Linked DNA regions of Coturnix japonica. The protein of the gene in region 1 interacts with the protein of each later gene in a pairwise test. Links are inferred from orthologs where the notes say so. Each region holds a gene or a part of one and is shown on either strand. Other genes may lie near its edges.

What was found. The genes of interacting proteins can lie anywhere in the genome.
Region 2: the proteins of CYTH1 (region 1) and CYTIP interact in binary tests that used the Homo sapiens proteins (3 or more experiments, as listed by UniProt). The link is inferred for Coturnix japonica from reciprocal best matches to the Homo sapiens genes CYTH1 and CYTIP.

What each region holds. Positions count from the first base shown.
Region 1 is NC_029533.1:4,590,461-4,596,957, forward strand, and holds part of CYTH1 (cytohesin-1), read right to left. Parts: intron 5,751-6,497; coding exon 5,684-5,750; intron 5,546-5,683; coding exon 5,427-5,545; intron 5,101-5,426; coding exon 5,020-5,100; intron 4,912-5,019; coding exon 4,799-4,911; intron 4,726-4,798; coding exon 4,577-4,725; intron 4,500-4,576; coding exon 4,388-4,499; coding exon of another isoform or gene 4,387-4,387; intron 1,802-4,386; coding exon of another isoform or gene 1,800-1,801; coding exon 1,723-1,799; intron 1,572-1,722; coding exon 1,500-1,571; intron 1,279-1,499; coding exon 1,124-1,278; intron 996-1,123; coding exon 917-995; 3' UTR 1-916. UniProt on the Homo sapiens protein: Promotes guanine-nucleotide exchange on ARF1, ARF5 and ARF6. Promotes the activation of ARF factors through replacement of GDP with GTP.
Region 2 is NC_029522.1:29,845,899-29,852,239, reverse strand, and holds part of CYTIP (cytohesin-interacting protein), read right to left. Parts: intron 4,450-6,341; coding exon 4,400-4,449; intron 4,077-4,399; coding exon 4,022-4,076; intron 2,070-4,021; coding exon 1,967-2,069; intron 1,845-1,966; coding exon 1,751-1,844; intron 1,461-1,750; coding exon 1,391-1,460; intron 1-1,390. UniProt on the Homo sapiens protein: By its binding to cytohesin-1 (CYTH1), it modifies activation of ARFs by CYTH1 and its precise function may be to sequester CYTH1 in the cytoplasm.

The sequences.
Region 1 (6,497 bases):
CCGCCAGAGAGGCCTCTGCACTTAACCCCTACATATAAAATAATTTAAAAGGAGGAAACTATACAGGAATATTTACACCTCTGATAAATAGACTGATACTGATCCAGGTGTCTCTCTGGACCTGCGTATGTGGCTGGGGAATGGGATGGCCGTGGTGTTTGTGGGGCAGAGGAGTGGGGCCACATCCTGATGGCAGCCATCCTTGGTGCAGTCCTGCCTGGGGTCAGGGGCTCACAATGGCCTTCCCTACCCAGCACTGAGGGGCTCATGGCTGTAGGATGTGGCAGGGCAGCACCAGCCTGGTGCCATGGGACTGCAGCCTCCCCCAGCTCCAGCACCCCATGGCTGGGGAGGGCACCCCAAGCCCGCTACAACGAGGGCCAGGAGCGCTGCCACTGCCCTGGGGCTGCCCTGTGCCTCCAGCACCCCACAACTGCCAGCCTTCTCCTCCAGGATGGGACACCTCAAGTGCTTCAGGACACGAGTGCTGGGACCCAGAAGCCCGTCCCCAACATGGGGATGCTGGGTTCCCCTTGGCCAGGCTCTTATCTCTCCCACTGGCTGCAGCTCACTGCTGCCCAGGACTGGAAGCTGCTCAGTGGGAGCTCAGTGGGGGGATGCCGGGCAAGCACTGGGCTGCTAAGGTGGGAGGGGAGGGCGATGTGCACAGGTGACACTTCTCATCTCACAGCCAACCCCAGGACTGTGTGCAAGGGAGTCCCAGCTGCAGCCTGGAGCTGTCTGGAAGCGAGGTGGTGATGGCACTGAGATACCCTTGCTCCCTCCCTCCCCCCACGGTAAAGAAACTGCAAAGCTGAAGCTGGGTCCTGGCACCAGGGCCGTGCTGAGCCCCAGCCCCGCAGCCCTGCGGATGGAGGTATGGTGCTGCCAGGGGCATGGTGGTCTTGCCAGGCTGCTAGTGCCTCTTGGTGGAGGATACCTTCTTCTTCCTGGCAGCCAGCATCTCGTAGAATGGGTCCCGGCTGATGGCTGCCCTGGTGGGGAAGCAGAGAGTGTCAGCCAGCAGCTGTACCCCACGGGAAGCCCTTTCCCCCCATAACATGGCTCCCATGATGTGCTGCCACCCACCCTGACAGCAGGGGATGGCCCGCAAAGCACTCACTTGATGCACTTGATCCACTCCTCCTTCTCCTCAGGTGTGGGGGCTGAGATGCGGTACACGGTGTGGTTCCCCTCCACTACCCGCCCGTCTGCCTCCGTTTTGCACGCTTTGATCACCTGGTCCTTGTTGTCAGGGATGTAGAGCTCAAAGCAGTTCTGCAGGGAGGAACCCCTTCAGACACAGCCCCCACACCAAGTGCAGTGGGGCACCCTGGGCTGGGGGAGGATGGTGCAGAGCAGTGGGGCTGCACACCCAGCACAGCAGGATGGGGCCATGCTGTGACATCACCCCACAGCTGTGTCCTGCCACCACAGTGGGGCCCTCTGGCTTTCCCTATCCCACCCTCCAGCCTTGCAGGATCCTGCCGGGCACTCACGGGTTTCTTGGAGTCCTCCACCTCACGGATGCTCAGGTTCTCCAAGGGGATGATGCCACGTGGCTCTTTATCCTGATGGGGCCAAGCAGAGCTTGTCATTACAGACACCTCCAACCAGTGCCCCATAGGAAGGGCTGAGTGCTCCCAGCACTCTGTGCTACGTCTGCATCCCACACGGCCATGGGACCCCCGAGGGTCCCCAGCCCCCATGTAAATCACTGACCGTCGTGTATTCGAAGTAGTAAAGGCAGTTGTCGGTCAGGATGAACCAGCGCCGCTTCCACGTCTTCACCCTTCCTCCTGGGAGCAGAGAGAGGCGGTTGGGGGCAGCCCTGGTGCTGCTGCATGGCACAGCATGGCACGGCACGGCACGGCAGTGCTGCAGCCCAGGCGGACGCACACAGACAAGCAGATGCAGGCAGCCCGCAGCGCAGAGCAGCAGGCAGCACACAGCACGCCGGCAGGGCGAGAGCATGAGCGGAAAGCAGACGGATGAGGATGGAGGCAGAGGGAGGTGGGAGGGCAGGGATGGGAGCACTGCCGTGCCCGCTTACAAGCACTGATGTGCGGCAGAAGGAGCTGCAGCTCCAGCCCTGCAGCACAGCCCGATGCCAAGGCAAAGCAGAGCTCGGTGCTGCAGCATGCGAACAGTGGCTGGAGGGAGCTCTACACCCAGCACTGCCATTGCACATTGCTCCCCCCCAGGCTCAGAGTGCTGCAGTGCTGGGCCTGGCTCTGCCCCCGCACCCCCACACGCTCCAAGCACCAGCTGCTCTGCTCAGTGCTGCTGTATGGGTGCCCAGGCCATGCTGCCCACAAAGAAGCAATGTGTGCAACGAGGGGAATGTGCTCATTTCCTCTCTCCCTGTCCGGCTCTGCAGGGAGATCCCTGCCTCATATCCCCCCCCATCCCACCCCACTGCCCACCCATTAACCCAGCCACAGTCAGTGCCCGCTCCTGGGAAAGGCTGCACACCCCATTCCCTGCCCCACAGCCAGGCAGGGCCGGCATTTCCCAGCAAAGCCCCCCTGCTCCTGCTCACCTTGAGCCGAGCCCACCCCACAACCCAAGGAGACTTGATGCCCTCCAGCCCCCACCAAGCCCTCATTGCAGGCTACAGCCTCACCAGGTGACAACATGGCAGGGCTCTGGAGGAGGAACCGTGTGGCATTGAGAGCCAGCACAGCCCTGAGGCTGCCCAGAGTGTGCCCACATGCTGAGCCAGGGCAGCACTTGTGCCCAGCACCAGCACAGCCATGAGCTGCAGCACTGCACAGCGCCCTGCACCCAGCCAGCTGCAGGTCCTTCCTGAATGCCCTGAAACACCACAATCCAAGCCCCATCCCTCACGGTACTGGAGGCCACGACCCTCTGCGGATGGGTCTGAGGACACACCAGTACCAATTGTCCCTATGATGGGACCGAGGGCAGCAGAGGGAACCAGGACACCTCGGGGAGCATTCGGCATCGGAGGGACCAGCAGCCACGTCCCTGCCCTGGTGGCTGCGGGTGCGGGGCTGTCCCCTGCAGGCAAGGTCCCCCCGGGCGGTGCGGTGGTTAGCAGCAGCAGCAATGAGACTAATCGCCAGCGATTAAAAACGAAAAAGAAACGAAGCCCCCAGAGGCATGAGCAGAGCAGGGGATAAAAGGGGTACAGGGGATAGGGGTACGTACCTCCTGGAGTTGGGGGACAAGGAAAGGAAGAGCCAAAATCATGGAAACATACAAATGAGGGAGAAAAGAAAATTAAAACAAAAAGGAAAAAATAAAATAAATAAAATAAAAAAAAAAGAGGAAATCCCGAAGAACCCCCCTCACCCCGCACAGAGCCGTGTGTGTCAGCGGGACAGGGCTGCAGATGGGGAGCTTTGAGGGGATGGGCCACGGCACCGCTCTGCTACACTATCGGTGTCCTTGGCTCTGAGCAGCCCCCACCCTCATGCTATGGGACCCTTCTACCAGCAGAGCTCCGGGCTCTATGGGGACACAAAGGCAGGGGTATAGGGTTCTTCATGGCCCTTCACACCCCCACCCCACAGCTAGGGAACACCTTGTTCAGTGCCCAGGCAGGGCTCTGTGTTGGTCATTGCAAGGAAAGGGATAAGGTCCTGATCCCATCTCGCAGGGGTGGCAACAGAGCAAAAACTCCCCCCAGTGAGAGGACAGAGCCCCAACCTCAGCAAGAGCCCAGGGAAAGGCCCTGCAGCCCCTGCTCCTGCCAGCACCCCCCCTCCTCAACCCGGGCAGAGGTCCCCAGGAGGTGTCGAGATGAGAAGCTGCAGGAGCCAGGGTGTGGGGCAGGGTGTGGGGCAGGGTGTGGGGCAGGGTGTGGGGCAGGGCAGGCTCGTGTCTGCGAGTGCCGGGCTGTGCAGCAGGGATGCCATGCACGCTGCCTGCATGTGGAGCCGGGATGCGGAGGTGATAATGCTGTGGGAAGGTGAGGCAGGGACAGCTCTGAGGCATGGAGGGGGACACGCAGCCCGGGGGCAGCTCGCCATTCACTCCTTGGGGCTCTGATGGGACCCTGCTGTGTCCCAGCGCTGTGCAGAGCACCCCCAGCTCTGTGATCTGACACCAGAGCCAGGTACCAGCTCAGCACAGCAGCCTCCAGGCAGAATCCCACTGGGAGCCCACGTGGCTGCAGCAAAGGGCCTCTCCAATAGCAGCTCTGCTCCTGCTGCTCAATGCGAGGCCGATGGAGGGACAGAGGTACGGACACTGTCCATGCGGGCTGTGCTCATGGCTGCAGCCCCTCATCTCTTGGCAGGGCTGTGCTCCACAGAGCCACGTGCAGGCAGTCTGTGGGCATCATACCCATGGCTCAGCCCAGACCCTGGGGCAGAGCACACCCTGCCCAGGCTGCACCCATCTGGTTGCCAGCACTTACCCAGCTTCAGCAGCCAGCCCTCCCGGTCAGGGTTGAAGAAGGTGTGTGTGAGGTCATTGCCATCATCCTCTGGGATTTTGAAGGGTTCATTCTTGATGCTCTCATAGAGATTCTGGTACAACCACACACGGTGTCACCTCTGTGAGCCCGCTGTGCCCCAGCCCTGAATCCTTGCATCCCATCCCTTACCCGCAGCAGCTCCTCAGGCAGGTCCCCCCCATCGTTGATGCCACGGTTCATGGCGATGAATCGCTCTGCTGTGGGTTTGTCCTTGACGTTGGGGTTGTGCAGGCTGGTGTTCAGCATGATGATAGCGAAGGAGAGCACATAGCAGGTGTCTGCGGGGACAGAGAGGACAGTCAGGTGCAAGGCAGGGCACAGAGCAGGGCACAGGGCTGGAGCTGTGCTCACCTGTGGACTGGAAGACGCCAGGGTTGCACTGGCAGTACCGCTGTGCGAAGGCCTCCATCATCCGATCGATCTTCTGTGCCTCTCCCGGCAGCCGAAAGCTCCACAGGAACTGCCTGAGGACAGCAGGCACAGCACTGCTTTGGTTGCATCCTCCAGCCCTCAGGGCCCTGCAGGGCACACAGCTCACAGCCCAGCCCAGCCCCACTCAGCCCCCGGCTCACCGCAATGCCTGGACGAGGTTGAGGTCCGTGAACTCATGCAGCTCCACGAAGGCGTGCAGGACTTGGATGTTAAACTCGTCCCTGCAGAAACAAAGCCAGAGCACGAGGTGTGTGTGATCAGCCCGTCCTGTGACTGCCGCATGGCCCCCTGCCCCGCTCTGCTCTCTGCACTCAGGATAGGGAACCTATGGCTATGGGCCATCCTATGGCCAGGTTTGCACGCAGCAGCCTTTCCAAGAGCCCAGCCACAGACCCTGGCACTCAGCAAGGGGCTGGCGCAGCCACTTGAAGACCCAGAGCCTGATGTCCTGCTGGGGGCCCTGGAGCCAGCCCAGCCCAGCAGCAACCTGCAAGGGTTGCACCATCTCCTCCTGCACAGGGACCGAGTTGCTCCAGGCCTTGCGTACCTCTCACCCAGGTAGTCTCCAATGGCTGTCTTGTTGAGGCCCTCTCCCTTGTAGAGGAACTGAGCAATATCCTCACACGTGTTCTTCAGCAAGTCGTTCTCAATCAGGAACTGGATGCCCTGAAGCAAAGCAAGAGGCATTGATTCGGGTCACGCTTCCAACCTTTATGCTATTCCCTTCTCCTGGCTCTGCTCGGCTCAGTACCCAGACCATGGTATGCAGCACCCCCTGCAGAGCCTGATGCCAGCCCCCAGTACCTTCTTGGGATCCATGTTGAACTTCTTCCTGCCCATTGCCACCTGCTTGTTCCTCTGCATGTTTTTCCTGCAGGACATAAAACAGCTCTGAGCGTCAAAAAGAAAGTAATAGAAAGGTTTAAGTTGGAAAGGACATGAAAAATCACCCAGTTCCATTCCAGGCTGGAGTTGCTCCCCCCCCACCAGATCTAGCTACCCAGTGCCCCATGCAGCCTGGCCTTGGGCTCCCCCAGGGATGGGGCACCCACAACCTGTGCTAAAGAACTGCCCAGAGAAGTTCAGGAGCCCTGGATTCCTCCTCCCAGCCTCTTGTCCTGTGTGGATGGGATCAAGAGCAAAGCTCCTCAACCCCTGACAGGCTCCACAGCACCAAACTGGGCACAACCTGCATGAGGCAAACACAGCACCTGGCACTCAGCTCCCCTCCTGCTTCACTCTGATGCTGCCAGGCCCTGAGTATGGAGCTGACCTGGGTTTGCACTGTGCAGACCACCCCAGCAGCCTCCTTTTGCCTGTGGGGAGGCAGCCTGGCATTGCATTGGGGCTCTGGGGACAATCTGAGGGCAATTGGAAGTGACACAGCAAGTCAGCTCCCACCAGGACCCCCTAATCCCATGCTGGCACTGCCTGTGCTGGCCCAGAATAACAAAGTCTGTCCGTCTCTGTGGCCAGACAGGGGATGAGCCTTGGAAAAACAGACTTCTGGAGGAACAATTCAGTCTGGGATCCTGCAACTGAACTGAGGAATTAAGAGTGTCTGGGAAAGCCAGGAGCAGCAGCACCCACGGGACAGGCCAGCAGCACAGCACGGCGC
Region 2 (6,341 bases), on another chromosome or scaffold:
GTAGTCAAGTGAGTGCCTGCGGGGTCAGCCGCACCACAGACTTCCTTGGCAACCTGCACAAGCACACAGCTGGGCAGCCTGGTAAGTTACACAGCTATCCATGCAAACTGCCCAGGCAAAGCTTGCGTGGACAATATTGCTGTTCCTTGCACATTTTTCTCTGTTCCACATTCCAGCAACACCAATCAAAACACCACGGCTCTGGGCTAAAGCACCAGCAGGGCAGCAGCCCTGGGGCTCTTTGCCATCCCTTGGCCCCAGCCAAAAGCACAGCCACTTGGCAGGGTGGTTTCTCCCATCCCATCAGACCTCACTGGCACTGACATGGGGCACAGCCCTGTGCCACACACCAGACATTAGTGCCGACACTCAGGGCCAGGCCCACACCCAACTTCACACAAGAGTGAAAGCTCTCCTGGCTGAAGCCTGGCACTTCTGGGAAACCACTGCTATCTGAACAGGAAAGCTGGGTGTTTCACAGCAGCTTCTGTCTTCCTGAGTTCTCTGCACCATACAAGGAGGGGCAGCCGCTCAGTGCTGCTCACACAGGCGTTGACCCCAGATGCACACAGACAGCAAATCCCATCCCTGCTGCAAAGCTCTGGCAAGCCTGAACATTTATGATGAGGTTTATTCCAGCCAGATCAGAATCCAGTTTGAAGTACCCCATTCCTGCAGGTCACCTTGGCTCAGTGCTGCTATAAGGAAAAGCTCTCCATCAGGTAAGGAATACTCCAAAGTGTCTACACGTCATGCTTTGACATCCTCCAAATGCTGGCTTAGCTCGCTGTTTACTTACAGCACTCATCAATTCTCAGTCTGACCAAGTTTAAGAAAAGGCAAAAATTGTCTTAAGAGGAGGTCAAAATTATAAAAATGATTTTTTTTTTGCCTAATTTTCATCATTTGATCTAATGAAAAACAATCCTATGTCATGTGACCAACATTTTTTCTTCCCTAAATCAGGCCAGGTTAAGATCTGGAGAAGCTCAGCACCCACTGGCAGGATGAGCCCTTGGATACTATCAGAAAATGCCCAGGGGCTCACAAAGACCCTTTGCAGTCCCAGAGCTGAAGACGTGTGGCTCCCAGAGATGTGATGGGGAGTCAGGACCCTGTGGTTGTGGCATGACAACCTCATGTGCAGGCTGGTGCTGCAGCCAGAGCGATGCTGCAGTGCCCACAGTGAGGGGGTGCTGACATCATCCCCACACACAGCAGTGGCACCCAGCCCCTGCAGCATCCCCCAGGGAGGCACTGGGACTGGCAGCACCAGCACCAGGGACACATGGTCCCCCGGCCCCTACCTCACCTCATGGCCACCCCCACAAACAGCCAACTCACAGCAGCACTCTGCATTTGACAGCAGCGCAGTGGTTCACTGTGTTACCTTCAGCAGATGCAGCTTGGTCTCCAGCTCTGTCTTCCTCAGGAACAGGGCCCCGTTGACAGTCTCCAGCCTGGAAAGAAGAGGGGGCTTTGGGTGCCAGCACTGGGTAGTAGTGGCCCCACAGCAGCACGTGGTGCTATGTGGTCCTCATGGAGGGGATGCACATGGGACACTGGGGGTCCAGATGTGCCACCACTTCCCCTCAACAGATGGATTCAGCACTTGCTATGGGATGAGCATGGGCAAGAGATGCATATCACAGCACTGCGTGTCTGTGAGTGTGGCACTGCTGCTTAGCACAAGATTTGATGGCTTCCAGTAGGACAGTGTCAGACTCAACTGTGAAGGGCAGATGCCTACCTTAAATAGTTCCCTGAAGACTTTATCAAGTCTACAATTTGCTTGTGACTAAAACCATCAGTGTTCACTCCGTTGACATTGGCAAGAATATCACCTGTAAGGATAAGCAGAGGCTAAAGTGAGCATCTTCAGCATACGCATCCCTTCCACATTCTATAAAACAAAACTACCATGGAGAAAAGCAACCCACAGATAGGAAAGAAAACAAGTCATTACCAATTTGAAGGCCAGAAAAATGGGCAGGACTTTCCTCTTGGATTTTGCAGACACAAGTGCATACCTCCAGGGAGTAATCGGTTTGGTTTGGAAATCTAAGTGTCTGTAAATAGCGAAAAAGAAGTGCTGCTGACATTGAAGACAACAAGCAATATTTACAATACTGTCATATGATCTATTCTGATTTCACACTGCTTTTTTAAAAGGAGAAGGCTGTGTTGAGCAGGTTGTATCTTTACAACGCCTGTAAAATCCATCGTCCTGTTATCAACTCAGACATTCATTTAGAAAAGTGCTAAACTAAGAGATACGACCTGAGCAGATTTTGCAATGACAGGAAATGTATTTTGGGTTGCATGCAAATATCAGTATTCGGCCACATCCTCTGCCACGCAGACATTTAAGACTGAAGCTGAAGTTCCTGAAAACCCACGACTGTCAAACCTACCTTACATATGTGATAGGTTCCCACATTCCTCAGTCAACACTGACAGAGATGAATTCTATCATGACTTCAGAGTTTATTAGGGCAAATCACACCAACGTGGTGATTTCAGTCTTAAAACCACCAGAAAAGCTTTCAGCTAAACTAAGAACAGCACATGATGTGATGCCCCATCCCTGGAGGTGTTCAAGGCCAGGCTGGATGGGGCCCTGGGCAGCCTGGGCTGGTATTAAATGGGGAGGCTGGTGGCTCTGCATGTGGCAGGGGGGTGGAGCTTCATGATCCTTGAGGTCCCTTCCAACCCAACCATTCTGTGACTCTGTGATGAGGGTTCTGAAGGATAAACCACTGCATATTCGAGGCAGTAGGATATGCCTGTTTTTCTGTTTGGACCATCTTGAGCGGCGGGATTCACCATTCCTAGCTGAGACGTCTGTCCACCAGCTCAGCAACTCTGCCAGAGCCACCCAAAGAGGCAGATGTCCCCAGCAAGTGACTGGTGGCCCTAAGAGCTCCATTTCTAACCAGGAGGATGGGATTCTTCCACCACATGCCTTCTTCTCTTCATAGACCATGGAAAAAAATCAGGCTGTCACTTTGGGCTGGATAACTGTGCTTTAGGTGGCCACAATGCCAGGAAAGACATGACTTGGAGCAGCTGATGTGCAAACACCTGGGCATGGACAGAGACACCCCGTGTCCATCTCACCACCAGAATCCATTTAATGAGTGGGGAGTACTAGTACAAGCAGCTTGTACCAGTACCGGAACAAGCAGCACACAAGAGTCTCTGTGTTCAGCCATCGCTGTAGCTCTGATGAGCTCCTTGCAGATGGCAGACCTTGAATTTCACATCCTCATATTCTGGTTTGCCCGTGTTCAAATTATAGCAAGAATGAAACTGCAACTTCCAAATAGTGGCTTATGCTTGGTACCAAACAGATACTGTCATGTCACAGCCTGGACTTTCTAGTGAAATGCTCACACTGAAGGTACATTCAGGAAGAAATACACCAAGAGCAATTAATTCTAATCAGAATGTCACATATAATGAAAATCTGCCCAGCGGTTTATACAAAAGCCGGATAATTGACTCAATTATCTTCCCTTCTGAAAGCTTTCAAAGTGTTCCTGAGCTGAACACTTACAAAACCATCAGTCACAGAATCAACTCTGAACAAGCTGGGCTTTCCCCACAGCACTCCTTTCACCAAAGCCAGCAGGTCCCTCTGCACAGCGCCGTGGGCACAGCGGTGCCATCTCATACAGCAGCTTTTCTAGAAATAAAAGAGGGTTTGGATCTCTCTTGTTTTATATAAAAATATCTCTGAAAACACGATCGCCTGAGGAGGAAGGAAGGCGTTCCCATTGCTCACTTTGGACCTGAGGTGTCTCCTATGGTCAGCTCTCCAACTTGCCGTGGGACCAGGCTCTCATTTGTGTCTGTGAGAACTCCTCAGTAGCACATCCCATTTCTGTACTGCTTCTTAAGCACTCCTGTTTAACAAGGGACTCACAGGTTTCTTTCTCTACCCCATCCAGCATTAATCTAGTTTGGAGGATGTGAGTATTATAGCTTTAAATGAATCAATTTGCCACGTAAGTCTTACCTGGATTTCAAACCCAAACGTCTCCTTATCTTCTTTCAATATAGAAATGAAGTGTCTGCAAGAAAAACGCTCAGAATTACCAGGGTTGTACAGCAGGGAAAGGCTGTGCCACAGAGGGCAGTGGGTGCAATACAGCTCCCAGGGCAGACGGCACAGCCCTGAGCTGCCGTGCTCAGGGAGAGCCGGGACACCAACCTCAGACTTTGGGTTCAGATGGGGCTGTGTGGGGCTCGCTGCTCCTTGTGGGTCCCTTCCAACTGGGATATCTTATCTTTCTATGATTCCATTCCTGAGCCCCTCTACCCTACTTCCCCCTTGAGTGATCCATCCCACCCGGGGCTGGGCTGTGTGAGCACAGCTGGTGGGGCATCGCCGTACCTCTGTGGCTGGGAGCAGTCCCCCAGGGAGCTGGATCTGGTCAGAGCGAGCTGCAAGCAGAAAGAGGAGAGGAAAAGTGTCAGTGGGGTCACAGCTCCTCGGGGCTCCCTGTGGGCCACAGGAAGCTGCTGCTGGAGGAATGCCACTGTGTTGCTGTTAGGCTGGAAATCAGTCCCTCAAAAATGGTATTTTTCCAAATCTTTTAAACACGACATTCAGCACTACCAAGATAGGAACATCACAGAGCAAAACAAAGCCATGAGTGCTCTTAGCACATGGTAATATCGATCCGGTTGCTTACATCCAGAAGACATCAACGGATGTTTCTCCGTGGGGGACAGCCCTGCAATTCCAGTCCCAACCTGATGTGAAAGCATCGCTGCCCACCAGCTTTCTGCTGTCCCAGCCCTCCTGCAGCGAGCAAAGAATGGGGAGCTGAGTCACTGCCGGCCGATATCCCGTGATAACAGATTGTGCAGGGGTGACAATGCGACCTCTCCCAACCAGCTCTCAGACATCACTCCCAAGGAGGAGGTGAGCACAGCAGGACGTGGCTGGGGAACACAGCAGCACACACCGGAGGGGCTCAAAGCAGGAGGGGCTGCATGGGAATCTGAAGGGCTGCTGTGCTCACATCAGTGAGTGCAAGAGGAAAATTAGTGATGAAAACACAGACAAAAATCTGATAGGAACAGTTCCTGGAGTAGGGGATTCTGAACAAAAACTGCTGGAGGTGCAGCTTCTCAGGGGGCAGAAACTGGAGGGACAAAAGGCACAGCTGCTAAAGAGGAATGCTGTGTTCTGTAGGGCATCAAAGCAGGACCTCCTGCTGCACTTCAGCATCCAGCAGTAAAGCAGGGAGGCTCCAAGACTGGAGCCAGGGGTTTCCAGTCAACATTTTCAGTAACACTGTAATTATCATCTATCAGGTGCCCAAATCACAATTCTGTTATGCTGAGACCTCAACTTCCTTTCACACCTTTCCCCTAAAAATTCAGTAGGTATTTGTAACTTTAACATGTACCACAAAAGGCAAAGAGCAGACACACACATACACACACCACAAAGCTGCAGGCAGCTCTCAGCAGCTACTAGTAGTGGCTAAATAGTGTTTCCAAGCTGATGCATGGCCATGGCAACAAGCACCCAGCATCCCCACTTCATTCAAGGCAGGCTTGTGCCTACAGAGGCCCGAGAAAAGCCAGGATCAGCACTTAAACATCAATGCTTTGTATAAACATGAGCCAAAAATAAGGAATTACATTGCTACTAAACTATATAGTCAACATAGTCAAACATCTCCGGCTTCAATAGTGCAAAGCCATGACAATGTGCAACCACCAACACAACTTCCATTTTATGAACCTGTGTTTAATTGGAGAGAGAAGCAGGGAGGAGTAAGGGGTGCCACGTAGTAACACATTTGGAGTTCTTCCTTAACACACACAGACACACCACGGCTATTTATCGCTCATTCATCTGCACCAGGACCACCAAGTGCTGCTCTGTCACTGCTGGTGGTATCTGCACCAATGCAGCAGAGCCTGCCCAGAGCTGGTCTGCTTCTGGCTGTCCTTTACATCCGCAGGGCTGTATGGGAGGAATGTGCTGCTGTTGCTGCATAAAGCAGAGCGTTCAGTGCACAGACATTATGTGCCAGTTTTCCGATAACACTTCAAGACGATAATGCATTTCAAGCACTTTCAATTTAGGCTTATTCACACAAGACAAACAGGCGAGCTACAATTGCTCAGCTGGCAATTTACAGCAGCAGCAAAAGACAGTTTCGTTGGCCTCCCATTGCAAACAACAGAAATTTTCTGTTCTGCATGAAAAGGGAGCTTATAAACAGGAGGAACACTGGCTTTGTACCTGGGCAGACAGTGACAGGACAAGGGGAGTGCTACTGAACTAGAACAGGAGATTTAGGTTGGACGTGAGG